Saccharomyces cerevisiae S288C: one gene and its partners. The gene in region 1 interacts genetically with each later gene. Each region holds a gene or a part of one and is shown in the gene's direction. Other genes may lie near its edges. The genes, in order: TUM1, ROM2, SWI5 and YKL069W.

The links.
Region 2: mutations in TUM1 (region 1) and ROM2 together harm fitness more than expected from each alone (negative genetic interaction), as found in Saccharomyces cerevisiae (3 studies listed by BioGRID, with this or other methods).
Region 3: mutations in TUM1 (region 1) and SWI5 together harm fitness more than expected from each alone (negative genetic interaction), as found in Saccharomyces cerevisiae (2 studies listed by BioGRID).
Region 4: mutations in TUM1 (region 1) and YKL069W together harm fitness more than expected from each alone (negative genetic interaction), as found in Saccharomyces cerevisiae (2 studies listed by BioGRID).

Annotation. Positions count from the first base shown.
Region 1 is NC_001147.6:801,682-805,290, reverse strand, and holds TUM1 (thiosulfate sulfurtransferase), read left to right. Parts: upstream 1-1,826; coding exon 1,827-2,741; downstream 2,742-3,609. Other genes in the region: protein-transporting protein SEC63, read left to right, coding at 1-259; peptide alpha-N-acetyltransferase subunit NAT5, read right to left, coding at 384-914; TMA16 (Tma16p), read right to left, coding at 1,088-1,624; cleavage polyadenylation factor subunit CLP1, read left to right, coding at 2,984-3,609. UniProt on the Saccharomyces cerevisiae protein: Sulfur transferase that accepts persulfite from NFS1 and transfers it to UBA4 in the pathway for 2-thiolation of the wobble uridine base of tRNAs. Stimulates sulfur transfer by NFS1.
Region 2 is NC_001144.5:860,978-867,725, forward strand, and holds ROM2 (Rho family guanine nucleotide exchange factor ROM2), read left to right. Parts: upstream 1-1,736; coding exon 1,737-5,807; downstream 5,808-6,748. Other genes in the region: Hsp70 family ATPase SSQ1, read left to right, coding at 1-548; ARC18 (Arc18p), read right to left, coding at 741-1,277; fatty acid elongase ELO3, read left to right, coding at 6,377-6,748. UniProt on the Saccharomyces cerevisiae protein: Stimulates the exchange of RHO1 GDP-bound form into GTP-bound form.
Region 3 is NC_001136.10:747,672-752,480, reverse strand, and holds SWI5 (DNA-binding transcription factor SWI5), read left to right. Parts: upstream 1-1,738; coding exon 1,739-3,868; downstream 3,869-4,809. Other genes in the region: bifunctional choline kinase/ethanolamine kinase EKI1, read right to left, coding at 1-850; TAF12 (Taf12p), read right to left, coding at 4,124-4,809. UniProt on the Saccharomyces cerevisiae protein: Determines the mother-cell-specific transcription of the HO endonuclease gene that is responsible for the initiation of mating-type switching in yeast. Recognizes a specific sequence in the promoter of the HO gene.
Region 4 is NC_001143.9:305,536-308,576, forward strand, and holds YKL069W (L-methionine (R)-S-oxide reductase), read left to right. Parts: upstream 1-1,749; coding exon 1,750-2,292; downstream 2,293-3,041. Other genes in the region: OSI1 (Osi1p), read left to right, coding at 1-349; YKL070W (uncharacterized protein), read left to right, coding at 676-1,185. UniProt on the Saccharomyces cerevisiae protein: Catalyzes the reversible oxidation-reduction of the R-enantiomer of free methionine sulfoxide to methionine. Does not act on S-enantiomer of free methionine sulfoxide or R-enantiomer of dabsylated methionine sulfoxide.

The DNA of each region.
Region 1 (3,609 bases):
TGCACCTGAAACTGTTGGTGATTTCTTTTTTAGAGTAATCGTTAAATCCACAGATTATTTCACTACAGATTTGGATATTACCATGAATATGAAAGTTCGTGATTCTCCTGCAGTGGAACAAGTAGAGGTGTATTCTGAGGAGGATGATGAGTACTCTACTGATGACGACGAAACCGAAAGTGATGATGAAAGTGATGCTAGCGATTATACTGATATCGATACGGATACAGAAGCTGAAGATGATGAATCACCAGAATAGATATAAGTGATTAGTATAGTTTTTCATTTTAGCTCTTAGACGTATATATTTCATCTTTATAAAAATAGATACATGTGTATACAAAGCAAAACCAAAAAAAAAAAAAAAATTTTTCAGCCATCTGTTAAGAAATGTGTTTTTTCAATAAGATAGCATCTTGTTCGTCGCCATTTACACCTTTTATGAAATTGTTGACAGTTTCGCCCACTTGTTCGAAGCCATGAGCTATAAACCATTGCTTTGTAAGATCATCCACTGCTGGTAAATAGACAAACACGTTATGTTGATGACATTCTGAGCATTTGTCTTCTGCAAACTTCAGTAATTTTGAACCGATGGATTTGTGCCTATAATTAGGCAACACGCCCAAAAATTCGATTTGAATGCCCTTGAGAGATAGTTCGTTTTGTTTTTTAGGAACTAATTTAGCAACCAAACCACCCACTGGTATTTCACTGTAATAAGCCATCTGTGTGAAATGTACATCCTTCTTCGAAGATGGCTTTTTATTTTTTGCAACTAAGCTATCCTCAGCGAATAATGCACTGAAGAAGGCATCTTGATATAAGTTTGGTACTGTCACATGAGCTAGTTTGGTTAGCATGCCCAAATTGTTAGCGTAAACATTGTCTAATGTGCATATATCACGGCCCATATTTCGCACTACTCCCTTCAATTGTCTTTGCCAATTTGTTTGTTACGGATTAATTTGTGAAAAAGCTTCGCTAATAATATCAATTTTCTTTTTTTTCTTTGCTTTTTCTACTATAATATACATAAAATTATATAAAGAGCATATAAACCATAAAGATTCCTCTGCGACACTTCTTATTCATTTCCTCCAACGACTTGTTCACCTTTATCATTAATTCTGATCAATCTTAGAGTATTCAAAAGGCCAAAAGTGCCATTCCAGTTTCTTAGAAATTCCATATTCTTCGCATCACTCAAGTCTGGACAGAGAAACCCCGCCTTAAATTCTTTTAACTCTTGATCCCTCCTTTGTTGCAGTAGCACTTGTCTATTGCTTGGTGGCCTGTTTGACCTCCTCTTCTTCTTGAGTTCGTCTAATTCCGTATCATCTCTTTCAATAAAACTTTGAATAAACTCTCTTGTGTGGGCGTGATCAAATATTGGTTGCCCTTTGAATGTATCAGAGTTAACTACATCCTGCATAAATTTTACCCGAGCTAGTTCGTGGACTCTTTTGTCTTGATGAAGCTTCTTTTTGGCTGCGATTTTATCTTCACGCATAGTAGCCCTGACCAGCTTTTCATACTTTCTACCCTTCGGATGAACCGTGATATTTTTCCCTTTCTTGGATAAGTTCTTTTGCAACTTAGATAAAGATTTAGTAACCGGCATGATTAGTTTGTCGTGGTAAGTCCTGTTCCGATACTTTTCTTCTTAGAAAGTACCTTTAAAGAGCTCATCTCTCATCTCGTCTATTAAACCATTTTAAAATTTTCGCTCGGGATGTTCAGCTGTGTACAATAATACAGCGTAAGTGCATTCAAACAATGAGGACAAAAGCATAAAGTTGTGAAGAAAATTGCCCATACATTCAATGCCATTATTTGATCTTATTTCTCCAAAAGCGTTTGTTAAGTTAGTGGCCAGTGAGAAGGTTCATAGAATCGTTCCAGTTGATGCAACATGGTACCTACCCAGTTGGAAGCTTGATAATAAAGTGGATTTCTTGACCAAACCACGTATACCAAACTCCATTTTCTTTGATATTGATGCAATCAGTGACAAAAAATCGCCCTATCCACATATGTTCCCTACAAAGAAGGTTTTTGACGACGCTATGAGTAATTTAGGAGTTCAAAAAGATGATATATTAGTGGTTTACGATCGTGTTGGTAACTTTAGCTCCCCTAGATGTGCTTGGACATTAGGAGTGATGGGACATCCTAAGGTGTACTTACTAAATAATTTCAACCAGTACAGAGAGTTTAAGTACCCTCTAGATTCCTCTAAGGTGGCAGCGTTTTCACCCTATCCAAAGAGTCATTATGAGTCCTCAGAAAGTTTCCAAGACAAGGAGATTGTAGACTATGAGGAAATGTTCCAATTGGTAAAGAGTGGGGAACTGGCTAAGAAATTCAATGCTTTCGATGCAAGGTCGCTCGGTAGATTCGAAGGTACAGAACCAGAGCCTCGTTCCGACATTCCATCGGGGCATATTCCAGGTACCCAACCATTACCATATGGAAGTTTACTTGATCCGGAGACCAAAACGTACCCAGAAGCTGGGGAGGCGATACACGCTACTTTGGAAAAGGCATTGAAAGACTTTCATTGCACTTTGGACCCAAGTAAACCAACTATTTGCTCTTGTGGAACTGGCGTTTCAGGAGTCATTATCAAGACAGCATTGGAGCTAGCAGGAGTTCCCAATGTTAGATTATATGATGGATCCTGGACCGAGTGGGTCTTGAAATCCGGGCCCGAGTGGATTGCTGAAAACAGAGATTAATAAGAGAAATATATTCTTGACAAGTCGATTTATTTAGCTACATATATTAATTATCTATCTACTTACTTAAAGGGCGATCTCCCTTTCTTTGTCTTATTTGTGCTCTTCATTGTTATTGCCCGGTAAAATAGAAAATAACAGCAAAAAATAAGACTGCTGGCAAAAATGAGCAGAGACCTTTCTATCGAGGGAAAAGAACAAACTATTAATTCTTTTCGAAATTCCAACACGATTAAACCATCATGGCAAGTCTACCTGGTATTGATGAGCATACTACCTCTGAAGAATTGATAACTGGTGATAACGAATGGCACAAGTTGGTTATTCCCAAGGGCAGTGATTGGCAAATTGATCTTAAAGCAGAGGGAAAACTGATAGTCAAGGTAAACTCGGGCATAGTTGAGATATTTGGCACCGAGTTGGCAGTAGATGATGAGTACACTTTTCAGAACTGGAAGTTTCCCATATACGCTGTCGAAGAAACAGAATTATTATGGAAATGTCCTGATTTAACTACGAATACAATAACTGTCAAGCCTAACCATACTATGAAATATATTTATAATCTACACTTCATGTTGGAGAAGATACGAATGTCTAACTTTGAAGGCCCTCGAGTGGTGATTGTTGGTGGTTCGCAAACCGGGAAGACTTCCCTATCGAGGACACTATGTTCTTACGCTTTGAAATTCAACGCTTACCAACCACTATACATCAATCTTGACCCTCAACAGCCCATTTTTACTGTTCCTGGATGCATATCTGCCACCCCAATATCAGATATACTTGATGCACAACTACCCACTTGGGGTCAGAGTCTCACTAGTGGTGCCACACTACTACATAATAAGCAGCCAATGGTGAAAAA
Region 2 (6,748 bases), on another chromosome or scaffold:
TTTTTCAGGGTGAAAGAGGGTTAGTGCGTAACAACAAGTTGATTGGTGATTTGAAACTTACAGGAATCACCCCTTTGCCTAAAGGCATTCCCCAAATATATGTTACTTTTGATATCGATGCGGATGGTATCATCAACGTATCTGCCGCTGAGAAAAGTAGTGGGAAACAACAATCCATTACTGTAATACCAAATTCTGGGTTAAGCGAAGAGGAAATTGCAAAACTTATTGAAGAAGCAAATGCAAATAGGGCACAAGATAACTTGATCAGGCAAAGGTTAGAGCTTATCTCTAAGGCTGACATTATGATAAGTGATACTGAGAATTTATTTAAAAGATATGAAAAACTGATTTCTAGCGAAAAAGAGTATTCTAATATCGTAGAGGACATCAAAGCTCTGAGACAAGCTATAAAGAATTTTAAGGCTAACGAAAATGACATGTCAATTGATGTAAACGGAATAAAAAAAGCTACGGATGCGCTACAGGGTAGGGCATTAAAATTATTCCAAAGCGCAACAAAAAACCAGCAGAATCAAGGTAAATAAGTGAACAAAACACAAATAAGACTTGTATATTAACGTGTATATCGTTCATTAAAGCATATTTTGACGTATTTATACTTTATACATTTATATATTTCTTTCCCGTTTCAAATTTTCGGTTCAAATAAAGTTGCATGTGGATTATTATGTTCCCATAAATTCTAGTTTTTATTATTTTCCTTGCACCGTATACCTTTATAGAGATTTGTTCATGAATCTTCTTCTTGTGAACGCCAACCAAAACTTTGAGGGATATTCCTTAGAATCTGTAGAGCTATAGACTCTTTCTAATAGTCTCATTGCCAATTCTTGACGGAATTGCTGAATATAAGTCTTCAACAAGTCCATCGAATTATGATCTTGTACTGGAACTTGGTAAACATTATTCAGAGGGAAACCCGGTGTACCTGGTAAAGTAAAGTTGTCCAAGGCCACATTGGTTAACACTTTGACGGCTTCGTTAAATGACGTTGTTATTTTCAAATGGGCTAGGCAATCATTGATAAAGAGAATTCCGTAGATGAGCACTCTGTCGGCGGGTGATTTAATTTCAAAATTCTTGAAGAAGGAATTGGCACGAAATAGGTCCAAGCACTCGTCGATAATATCGTAATCGGAATTGCTGGGGTATGCAGGACCCCTGAACTTAGTGTTCAAGGGCAGAAGCGCAAAGTTCCCTACCATGCGGTCAGTGTTAGGATCTACAGGGAAAGTCGAGTGATACGCAGGCATTTATTAATATACTGGGAGTGGAGAGACTGATAATACCAATAATCTTCCTTTATTGATGTTTGTTACTGCGCACCAAGTGTTTAATTTATTGTTATTCATTGTTATACTAAACCAAACCGCAACGGAAAGGATAGGGGTTCGTGGTGGATGATCCGCGTAACGGCCGAGTCTGTGAAACTGAGAGAGAATGATAGTGAAAACAATGGTATGGAAGTCCGAGGTCCTAAGGCTTGAAGAAAGTTTTTAAAGGGCATTATGACCAGTGAGTACTGACGACCTAATTTAATAACAGTATTGAGCCGATTAGGTTTTCCTGGATTTTTTTTTTGCTGTTTTATAGCTATTTTTTTATTTGTTGTTTGTGGTCATTAATATATTCATTCGCTCTGTTAGTGTAATCGATTACAGTGCTCTATTACTGCTGACTTAATTGGACAATTCATCTCTTTTCCTGCGGTTATGAGCGAAACCAACGTTGACAGCTTAGGGGACAGAAATGACATATACTCCCAAATATTTGGTGTAGAAAGGAGGCCAGATTCCTTCGCTACTTTTGATAGTGACTCGCACGGAGACATAAGTTCTCAGCTGCTGCCTAATAGAATCGAAAATATCCAGAATCTAAATGTTCTGCTTTCTGAAGACATTGCTAATGACATCATTATTGCCAAGCAGAGGAGACGTTCTGGAGTTGAAGCCGCCATCGATGATTCTGATATACCAAATAACGAAATGAAGGGGAAAAGCTCAAATTACATTTTATCGCAGCAGACTAATATTAAGGAAGTTCCAGATACACAAAGTTTGTCTAGTGCTGATAATACACCTGTGAGCAGTCCAAAGAAGGCAAGAGATGCCACATCTTCCCATCCCATTGTTCATGCTAAATCGATGTCCCATATATATTCAACGAGTAATAGTGCTAGTAGACAAGCCAAGCACTATAATGACCACCCTTTGCCTCCAATGTCTCCAAGAAATGAAGTTTACCAGAAGAATAAAAGTACTACAGCTTTTGTGCCTAAGAGGAAACCTTCGCTCCCGCAACTAGCACTTGCTGGTCTTAAGAAGCAGAGCAGTTTTTCCACCGGCAGTGCATCAACCACTCCTACACAGGCTAGAAAATCGCCTTTGCAAGGGTTTGGTTTCTTTTCGAGACCAAGTTCCAAAGACTTGCACGAACAGCACCAACATCACCAGCATATTCAGCATAATAATATTAACAATCATAATAATAATAATACTAATAATAATGGCGCACATTATCAAGTGGGTAGTAGTAACAGTAATTACCCTCAACATTCACATTCTATATCATCTAGATCGATGTCGTTGAACTCATCTACTCTAAAAAATATTGCATCATCTTTTCAATCGAAGACTTCTAACAGCAGGAAAGCTACGCAAAAATATGATATAACTTCCAACCCATTCTCAGATCCTCATCATCATCATCATCATCATCACTCTTCAAACAGTCACAGTAGCCTAAATAATGTCCACGGGTCTGGAAACTCCTCAAGTGTTATGGGAAGCTCGTCTAATATTGGGTTGGGTCTTAAAACGAGAGTTTCTTCCACCTCATTAGCTTTAAAAAGATACACTTCGGTTTCAGGAACTTCTCTATCTTCTCCACGTAGAAGTAGTATGACACCTTTGTCGGCATCTAGACCTGTTATGAGCGCTTCATCAAAAAAACCTCAGGTATATCCAGCTTTGTTGTCAAGAGTCGCCACAAAATTTAAAAGTTCGATACAACTCGGGGAACATAAGAAGGATGGATTAGTTTACCGTGACGCATTTACAGGGCAGCAGGCAGTCGATGTCATCTGTGCTATCATTAGAACTTCTGATAGAAACTTAGCCTTGTTATTTGGTAGATCACTAGATGCACAAAAGCTGTTCCATGATGTGGTATACGAGCACAGGTTAAGAGATTCACCACATGAAGTTTACGAATTTACAGATAACTCAAGATTTACAGGAACAGGTTCCACAAACGCCCATGATCCACTGATGCTACTCCCAAACTCATCATCTTTTAATTCCGGGAACCACTCTTATCCGAATTCCGGAATGGTTCCATCAAGTTCAACTTCATCTTTGAATAGTGATCAGGCAACTTTGACAGGGTCGAGGCTACATATGAGTAGTTCATTGTCCCAGCAAAAGAACCCTGCAGCCATTCATAACGTCAATGGTGTGTTTACATTACTGGCGGAATGCTATTCCCCTACGTGCACAAGAGACGCTTTGTGTTACTCTATTTCGTGTCCAAGACGTCTTGAGCAACAAGCAAGGTTAAATCTGAAACCAAATGGCGGCCTGAAACGTAATATATCAATGGCATTGGATGATGATGACGAAGAAAAGCCATCTTGGACAAGTTCCGTATCTAAAGAGGATTGGGAAAACTTACCAAAAAAGGAAATAAAAAGACAAGAGGCTATTTATGAAGTTTATATCACGGAGAAGAACTTTGTAAAATCATTAGAAATTACAAGAGACACATTCATGAAGACTTTGGCTGAAACAAATATTATTTCAGCAGATATTAGAAAAAATTTCATCAAGCATGTTTTTGCACATATAAACGATATCTATTCAGTGAATAGACGTTTTTTGAAGGCTTTAACTGATAGGCAAAGAAGTTCACCAGTTGTGAGAGGAATTGGGGACATTGTTTTAAGATTCATTCCATTTTTTGAACCATTTGTTTCATATGTCGCTTCAAGACCATATGCGAAGTACTTGATTGAAACCCAAAGATCAGTCAATCCCTATTTTGCTAGATTTGATGACGATATGATGAGCTCCTCCTTACGTCATGGTATTGATTCGTTTTTATCTCAAGGTGTTTCAAGACCAGGTCGATATATGCTATTGGTCAAAGAAATCATGAAATCTACTGACCCCGAGAAGGACAAAAGTGATTATGAAGATTTAAGCAAAGCCATGGATGCATTAAGGGATTTTATGAAAAGGATTGATCAAGCAAGTGGTGCTGCACAAGATAGACATGATGTAAAATTGTTGAAACAAAAGATTCTTTTCAAAAACGAATACGTTAATTTAGGATTAAATGACGAAAGGAGAAAAATTAAACATGAAGGTATACTATCACGGAAGGAGTTGTCAAAATCGGACGGAACAGTTGTTGGTGACATACAATTTTATCTTCTAGATAATATGCTCTTATTTTTAAAGGCCAAAGCAGTTAATAAATGGCACCAGCATAAGGTATTCCAAAGGCCCATTCCATTGCCATTGTTATTTGCATGTCCAGGTGAAGATATGCCTGCGTTGAGGAAATATATTGGAGACCACCCAGATTGTTCAGGAACTGTAATTCAACCAGAATACAACACGAGTAATCCTAAAAACGCAATAACTTTCTTATACTACGGTGCCAAGCAGAGATATCAAGTTACATTATATGCTGCGCAATACGCTGGATTGCAAACGCTTTTGGAAAAAATAAAGCAAGGACAAGCAGCTATTATAAGCAAAACGGAGATGTTCAATGTAACGAAAATGAGCGATAGGTTCTTCGATTACACCAACAAAATTAACAGTGTTACTTCCTGTGATGGGGGTAGAAAACTTCTGATTGCAACGAACTCTGGATTGTATATGAGCAACATTAAAAGACAGCAGAATAAAGATCATAGACATAAAAGCTCTGCTTTTTTTTCAACTCCAATCCAACTAGTACAAAGAAATAATATCACTCAAATTGCTGTATTAGAAGAATTCAAATCAATCATACTTTTAATTGATAAAAAATTATACAGTTGTCCGCTGTCATTAATCGAAGCAGAAGGTAATGGGACATCTTTCTTCAAAAAGCATCACAAGGAACTGATCAATCATGTGAGTTTCTTCGCAGAAGGAGATTGCAATGGTAAGAGATTAATCGTGACTGCACACAGTTCATCGCATTCAATTAAGTACTTCGAGCATGAACATCCATTATTGGCCGAAAAAAATGGTAGTGGTAGCGGTAACAAAAAAAGTCTCAAGAAAAAAATCACCGAGGTTATTTTTGATTCTGAACCTGTCTCTATTTCATTTCTCAAGGCCAACCTATGCATTGGCTGTAAAAAGGGTTTTCAGATCGTTAGCATTTCACAGAATGCTCATGAATCCTTGTTAGATCCGGCCGATACATCATTAGAGTTTGCACTAAGGGATACTTTGAAACCAATGGCAATCTATCGTGTGGGAAATATGTTTTTGCTGTGTTACACAGAATTTGCCTTCTTTGTCAATAATCAGGGTTGGAGAAAGAAAGAATCGCATATTATTCATTGGGAGGGAGAGCCCCAAAAATTTGCAATTTGGTACCCGTACATCTTGGCATTCGACAGCAACTTCATTGAGATCAGAAAGATTGAAACTGGCGAATTAATTCGTTGCGTCCTTGCTGATAAGATTCGACTTCTACAAACAAGTACTCAAGAAATCCTGTACTGCTACGAGGATTATCGCGGGTATGATACAGTTGCGTCGTTAGATTTCTGGGGTTAAGATAGCAACGTATATAGACTTTCCTTATTTTCTTTAGAATAAAAAGCATAACTAAAGTTGTAAAAGGAGCAGAATTATGAATAATAAACATTGATGACAATAGTGGAAAACGACATAAATAATAATTTTATAATATAATAATGATAATTCACCGTCAGAGGGATTTGTATGCAAATGATTGATGACGCGAGAAAAAAAAACGCGAAATTTTTCTTCCCAAAGCTTCGAAGTTTTTATTCCGTCCACAAAGTGAAAAATTTTCAGAAAATTTTCCAGACTGTGAATAAACAAAAGGTTGGCTTACGCATTTGGCTTGTCTTTTTTTTTTTTCACAGGTTCTTAGTAAATAATTGTATAAAATATTTATCTGGAGTCTTCTGTTTGTTGTTTAGCCTTGTTTGAAGTTTTATTTAACTTATTACCCCAGTTAGGTACTGTGTATTTTCCGCATATCTGGTGTCTTTTTATTTGGTCATTGATTGGTTTTTGACAGCTCTTCACTCGCTTCAAGCTTACTTCTAGTTTATTTATTCGGCTTTTTTCCGTTTGTTTACGAAACATAAACAGTCATGAACACTACCACATCTACTGTTATAGCAGCAGTTGCCGACCAGTTCCAGTCTTTGAACTCTTCTTCTTCATGTTTCTTGAAGGTTCATGTTCCTTCCATTGAGAACCCATTCGGTATTGAATTATGGCCAATTTTCTCCAAAGTGTTTGAATACTTTAGTGGCTATCCAGCTGAGCAATTCGAGTTTATTCACAATAAGACTTTCTTGGCTAACGGGTATCATGCTGTTAGTATTATTATCGTTTATTACATTATTATCTTTGGTGGCCAAGCTATCTTACGCGCCTTGAACGCCTCTCCATTAAAGTTTAAATTGCTTTTCGAGATACACAACTTGTTTTTGACTTCTATTTCTCTAGTTTTATGGTTG
Region 3 (4,809 bases), on another chromosome or scaffold:
TCCAACTTGAACAGCGTAAATTTTCACTTATATTTACATTATTGGAAACCCACTCTTTATGCGAGTCTATTAATTTGATCCACTGATCAAAGGTTGTCCAGCATGACGGTTGATCCGTTATTTCTTTATGCGTTAATGGAACAGTACAATGCAACTCTTTCAATTTTTTAGCAATTTTTATTGAAGTATCCCGATCTATAAAGTCGGCTTGAGTAGATGTCCTCGAACCCTCAATGTATTTTTCAAATCTGCCATTTTCAAAAAACCCTTCTAGTTTGGGTCCTAAATCATAAAATGATAATCTCGCAATAACCTTTAATTCATACTCTCTATCAATTACAGAATCTATGCTATCACCAAAAATTCTCATCAGTAAAGGGGGTAAGTTTGGATAGTGAATCTTATAAATAACATTTGTAAGGGCCCCCTTGATTTGTGTCAAAGTTAATAAATTCTTATTCAACGAGGATTCTTTAGAGCCGGGCACAGACCATCCAGGAATCTCCAAGCTTTGTAAAACATTTATGATATCTTGTTTGAAATATTGAGATGGCAAAGACGGGTCTAATTTCGCGTTTACGTATGCCAGTTTGAGAAAATCATTAGCGGTTTGTGAAGTCCATGAGCTTGATGTCATCTCACCGTCTTCATTCGTGCATGTTATTGGCAGTTCATTTTTCAAGTCGACTTCTGAGTGCTCATTAGTATCGATGATGTGGATCACCCTCCTCGTTGGCTTGTCACAATTTGCAGACTGGCGCTTTTTCTTAGACATTTCTGGTGAGGCTGTGCCGACCAAGTAAGTTCGGGGCATTGCGTCACTGCTTGTAAGTGAATAATTGGTGTACATTATGCCAAATTGCAGATCTGTATCTGTTAATTTCTGCTACTACTTTCGTACAAACTATAGCTGCGTACCACAACAATTTAGTAATTTTGTGCCAATCTGTTATCTCAACAACGACATCTATTGTTTTGTAGATTTGCATACACTTTCTTTTGCAAACGACCTCCGGGTAGCCAAAACCCAAACGATATTTTTTTACTATCATCACCGTTTTCACATGCTGTCTAGTGGCCTAACTTATGAAACATAGTCAAACTACTTATAAAACTTCGGCAGTCAGACAGTTCTTTCATTAAATGGTGTCAAGTAGATATTTACGGCATTGGATTCTAGGGCCAATGTTATTTCTGTCTTAAAGGAGAGCGAATCAAATATCGGAGTGTTATTGTTAGATATTCTGAAAGGTAGTATGATTATCTGAAAGCCGATAGGAGTGGTACACTCCGCTCACACCTTGTTAAATATTCATTAGAACATCTCTGTTCCAATTCATAGCAGCATTGTTGGAAATATCTTGGTCTGAATCCCAATCCGGGCAAGTAGAGAGGATGAAATTTTCACTTTCGTACTTTAACCTGTTTAGGAAAAAGGTAAACAATAACAATACCTACCATTAGCGACTAATTATCTTTCTTTCTCCCTATAGATCTGCTCTATAAACAATGATTGAGTACTATAGAGGATCGTCTGCAATTTTATTCACTATTTATGTATTGGCACGGAAGACAAAAAGGCATCGTTGGAAGAAAGATTTGAGAACGACAATATAGATACCACCATATAACTCGTTCTTGGAGCTAGGTAAATAGATCCTGAGAACGTGTTTAACATCTGCGATATAATTAAAGCGCAATCAAATAAAATATTAACGTCATTGTTTTTTCGAAAAAGATGGATACATCAAACTCTTGGTTTGATGCCTCAAAAGTACAAAGCCTAAATTTTGACCTACAAACCAACTCTTATTACTCAAATGCTAGAGGCAGTGACCCTTCGAGTTATGCAATAGAAGGCGAATATAAAACACTAGCAACAGATGATTTAGGCAATATATTGAACCTAAACTATGGTGAAACCAACGAAGTTATAATGAATGAAATAAATGACTTAAACCTTCCGCTGGGACCACTTTCTGATGAAAAATCTGTCAAGGTTTCTACTTTCTCCGAGTTAATAGGAAATGATTGGCAAAGTATGAACTTTGACTTAGAAAATAATTCAAGAGAAGTGACTCTAAATGCAACTAGCTTGTTGAATGAAAATAGATTAAATCAAGACAGTGGTATGACTGTTTATCAAAAAACAATGAGTGATAAGCCCCACGATGAAAAGAAGATTTCCATGGCGGATAATTTATTGTCGACTATAAACAAAAGTGAAATTAATAAAGGCTTCGATAGAAACCTCGGGGAATTACTGTTACAGCAACAACAAGAGTTGCGCGAGCAATTGAGAGCACAACAAGAGGCTAATAAGAAGTTAGAGTTAGAACTCAAACAAACACAATACAAGCAACAACAACTACAGGCTACCTTAGAGAACTCTGATGGTCCACAGTTTTTATCTCCCAAAAGGAAGATCTCTCCTGCTTCAGAAAATGTGGAGGATGTATACGCAAATAGCCTTTCACCAATGATTTCCCCACCAATGTCTAATACTTCGTTCACTGGGTCACCTTCTAGGAGAAACAATAGACAAAAGTACTGCCTGCAGAGAAAAAACTCTAGTGGTACTGTAGGACCACTATGTTTCCAGGAATTGAACGAAGGTTTCAATGACTCCCTCATTTCACCAAAGAAAATTCGCTCGAATCCAAATGAAAACCTCAGTTCAAAAACCAAATTTATTACGCCCTTCACTCCAAAGAGTAGAGTTAGTTCAGCTACGTCCAACTCTGCTAACATTACCCCTAATAACTTAAGGTTAGATTTCAAGATTAATGTTGAAGATCAGGAAAGCGAATATTCAGAGAAACCTTTGGGCCTGGGTATTGAACTTCTTGGAAAACCAGGTCCTTCTCCTACAAAATCAGTGTCTTTAAAGAGTGCTTCTGTGGATATTATGCCTACAATTCCTGGGTCTGTAAATAATACTCCATCAGTCAATAAAGTATCCCTTTCCTCCAGTTATATAGACCAATATACACCAAGAGGTAAGCAGTTACACTTTAGCTCTATCAGTGAGAATGCATTGGGTATCAATGCTGCGACACCACATCTAAAGCCGCCGAGCCAGCAAGCACGACATCGGGAAGGCGTTTTCAATGATTTAGACCCTAATGTACTTACGAAAAATACAGACAATGAAGGAGATGATAATGAGGAAAATGAGCCTGAAAGTAGATTTGTTATTTCCGAAACGCCTTCTCCCGTTCTTAAGTCACAAAGTAAGTACGAAGGAAGATCTCCTCAATTCGGCACACACATTAAGGAAATCAACACATATACCACAAATAGTCCCTCAAAAATCACAAGAAAACTCACAACACTGCCCAGAGGTTCAATCGATAAATATGTGAAGGAAATGCCTGATAAAACATTTGAATGTTTATTTCCTGGATGTACAAAAACATTCAAGAGAAGGTATAACATCAGATCTCATATTCAAACACATTTGGAAGATCGGCCATATTCCTGTGATCACCCTGGATGTGATAAGGCATTTGTACGAAATCATGACTTGATAAGACACAAAAAATCGCACCAAGAAAAGGCGTATGCATGTCCCTGTGGTAAGAAATTCAATAGAGAAGACGCTTTGGTTGTGCACAGAAGTAGAATGATTTGCAGCGGTGGTAAAAAGTATGAAAACGTGGTAATTAAAAGGTCTCCAAGAAAAAGAGGAAGACCAAGAAAAGATGGAACTTCAAGTGTTTCTAGTAGTCCAATCAAAGAAAATATTAACAAGGATCATAATGGACAGTTGATGTTCAAGCTTGAAGATCAACTCAGAAGAGAGCGTAGTTATGATGGGAATGGAACGGGGATTATGGTTTCGCCAATGAAAACTAATCAAAGGTAAAAAAAAACATTGATGTTATGGACACTTTTTTTAATATTTAATAATAAAAACAAAATGAAAACAAGGAAAAAAAGTTTTTTTTTTTTTTAATTATGTATAATCTAAGTAAATAATATAGTATGAACACTTTAGATACAAAATATTAATTAATCAATTAATTTTAAAAAATTTCGCTTTATAGATACATATATAACAATGTGAACTATAACTTTAGGAATTTTTTCTGTGGAAGAGTGGAGAATGTGGGTAACATAATTATTTTTTTGTATTCAAGCTTGCAACATTGTTTCCATTGTTTTTTGCAGCTGCTACCTTATCTGATGTGATACTCTGCAATTTCTGGTTATAATTTTGAGAGGGATTCCATTTTCTTGTACTTCTTATTTCGTCTGCGGAATAACCAGGAATCCTAATATTCCAATTTCTCTCCAAATGTAACTGAATGTCTCTTGCCTCCAAATTGTCCGATTTTCTGTGTTTTGCCAATCTACAAGAAAAAGCTGTAACATTAGTAACAAAATCGTCGGCAAGATCCAATAGTAATTCCTCAACATCACCGTCAATGACAGTTTCACCGTCACCCTCATCAATTCCGACAGTCTTCACTAACTCTCTTAATTTACGCTTTGACATAACTCTCTGAGTATCCATTTCATAGGGTGGTAATTTAGTTGTTGCTGGTGTATTCAAAGCACTGGCATTCATAGCAGAACCTCCAGTTATTGTAGGTCTGTTGGATCTATAAGCTACCGGTGCTGGTGTTTTGGTAGATATATTTTCCGATATGGGTATGGCAGGCTCTGTTTGTTTGAATATTGCCGATTTGCTCGAACTTATATTATTCAACATAGATGCCGTTGCATTTACATTGGTTACCTTAGCTTTCGATTGTTCAGTCTGTGAAGTGTTAACATTGCCCCTGGGATTATTGGTGGCAGTTA
Region 4 (3,041 bases), on another chromosome or scaffold:
GAAGATATTCTTTATCTCTAGTGTTGCAGGATCTATCAATGCGTTTGTACCACTTTCTGTTTCCGCTTATGGTCAATCGAAAGCTGCCTTGAATTATGCGGTAAAGACGCTCAGTTTTGAATTGAAACCGGAGGGTTTTACTGTCGTTGCTTTTCACCCAGGTATGGTATCTACTGATATGGGCCAATATGGCCTTGATCATTTTAAAGAGAAGAATATAGACATCAGCGGCGTAAATATTATCACACCAGAAGAAAGTGCCTCTGCGCTAATTGATGTCTTCCGAAAAATTTTACCAGAAGATAATGGAAAGTTCTTCAACTATGACGGCAGCGAAGGCGTCTTTTAGATAAGTGCAAATTTGGCTACTTATATACAACTCAGATACGGAATATACCTTTGTGTAATACACTTTTTTATTGGTAGGTGCTATATGATGTGACTTTGCTTTTGCCTCACGCCCCTTTAAGAAGGTATTTTGTGGCATCACTTTGTATGCTGATCTTTTAACGCTTAACCAGATTTGAAACTATCTCTATTATGTCCTCTGATTTTAATTAGGATGGTATATAACTGGTCCTAGAACCGAAGATTCTGCATATTCGCCGAAAACCATCCCTTAATATTATAGACATAAATTGCCAGTCTGAGAAGAATCCAAGAATCTATTTCATAATGTACATTCCTAAACATTTTGAGTCCATGGAACTCTCAAGGTACAAATTATCAAAAAAACCCCCGCTAGGAACACTATTCTCCTCTAAGGCTAGCAGGCAAGGTTTCTTCGGATGGAGAACTTCTTCCAATAAAGATGACCCCGATTTTGGTATGTGCGCATCACATATTCCATTTGTATTCGTGGAGTTCGATAATGGAGAGCATAAACTTATTGCACATTTAGCACGGAAGAATAAACATGTGGAAATGCTGGAAAGAGTTCAAAAATGCTTAGTGGTATTTCAGAGCGTCGATTCATACATTTCTCCGGCGTGGTTCCCAATGAAGAAAAAGACCCATAAGTTCGTACCAACATGGGATTTTGCCGCTGTGCACGTTTACGGTACACCAAGGATTATCCGCGACGATAAAGACTGGCTTATTAATATGTTATCAACTTTGACTGACCAAGAAGAAGAGAAAAGACCTGAGGGGGAAAATGTACGAAGTAAAGTGGAGCGTTTCTGATGCCCCAGATTATTATATCAATGCTATGCTTCAAAACATTGTCGGGCTTGAAATCAGTATTACCCATATTCAATCAAAGTTCAAATTCGACCAAAATAAATCACAGATTAATGTTGAAGGCATATGTTGAAAATTCAAAGAATTTGGTGGAGAAAGAGGCCAAGAAATGGCTCGCCTTGTAAAAGATAACTATCCAGGTAGCTTATAAGTTTTGTATTTTCTCTGCGCATTAAATATCAATAATTATTTATTCGTTTTCATTCTTTTCTTATCTTATCTTTTAATATTGACTTAACAGAGGGCAAGGCCCACCGTGATGCAGAAAGAACACAAACGCAAAGGTTTACCTATTCCCTGCAGTTAGAAAACCATGTTTGGAGGAAATGAAGAAAGATATTTACAGTTGAGTTTACAACGAAGTATTATCCTTTTTAACGAACGCTAATATCATCGGTTTCTTCATGTTTATATGATGACGATTTTCCCAAATGTAAGCAAACAAAGGCGTTTGCTGATAAAACAAATCCGTAAATTAGAAAAAAAAACAAAAAAAAACAAACAGATATGGGCTCATCAACCGGGTTTCATCATGCCGATCATGTTAACTATTCTTCAAATCTGAATAAGGAAGAAATTCTAGAACAGCTTCTGCTTTCATACGAGGGGCTATCAGATGGACAAGTCAATTGGGTTTGTAATTTGTCAAACGCTTCGTCATTGATCTGGCATGCGTACAAGTCATTAGCTGTTGATATCAATTGGGCTGGATTTTACGTTACTCAAGCTAGCGAAGAAAACACACTGATATTGGGCCCATTTCAAGGAAAGGTCGCTTGCCAAATGATTCAATTCGGTAAAGGTGTTTGCGGAACTGCAGCCTCTACAAAGGAAACGCAGATTGTTCCAGATGTCAACAAGTATCCCGGTCATATTGCGTGCGACGGTGAAACCAAGAGCGAAATTGTTGTTCCAATCATATCCAATGATGGTAAGACATTGGGCGTCATAGACATAGATTGTTTGGATTACGAAGGATTCGACCACGTAGACAAAGAATTCCTAGAAAAACTTGCTAAATTAATTAATAAATCATGTGTCTTTAAATAAGAGTTTTGAGAACGAACAAGTATTTACGCACATAACCAATATTCCCATGTAGCTCTCTTGTCAAATATATTGTCGGACGGGCACGAATAGAGATAAACATCAAGAAAGATTGAGGGGCTTCAGGAGATCATTGGTGAAGAAAACATTCCCTGTTCGCCAAATTGACAGCTCTCAATCTTTATTTGTAACCCTTATTGCAAATTTATGGCATGTTTACCCTCAAACAAAGGATATTCAGCATTTATTAAAAATATCTTTGCTTGGTAAGAAAAAAACGTCAACGAAAATGACGGAGATATCTGACGGAAAAAAAAATTGATTTCGCCCAGGATCGAACTGGGGACGTTCTGCGTGTTAAGCAGATGCCATAACCGACTAGACCACGAAACCACTTAATTGTTGAATAACGGACATCTAAAGTCATATCTATAGTGCAGCAAGTTCTTCTTCAGCTCACCCCAGTCTCGCTAAAGGCATGCTTACTTTGCCGTAAAGAAGAAAGGAACGTTCAAAATGTGTTTGATGCGTAACTGTGATGATTTTCTATCATTTACTTGCATGATATCGGTGAAAATTCTAGCTAGATTTATCAATGCATAGAAGCAGTAAGTGATGCCACAGATATGAGCTTTTCTCTGTGGCGAGGTCTTTGAGAAATTAAGTGGCTTGTACAGTTTTCACATGACGATTGGAAATGTTGAAAAAAGAGCCTAAAAATAGGCCTTATCGAACAACATTAAACTAATAAT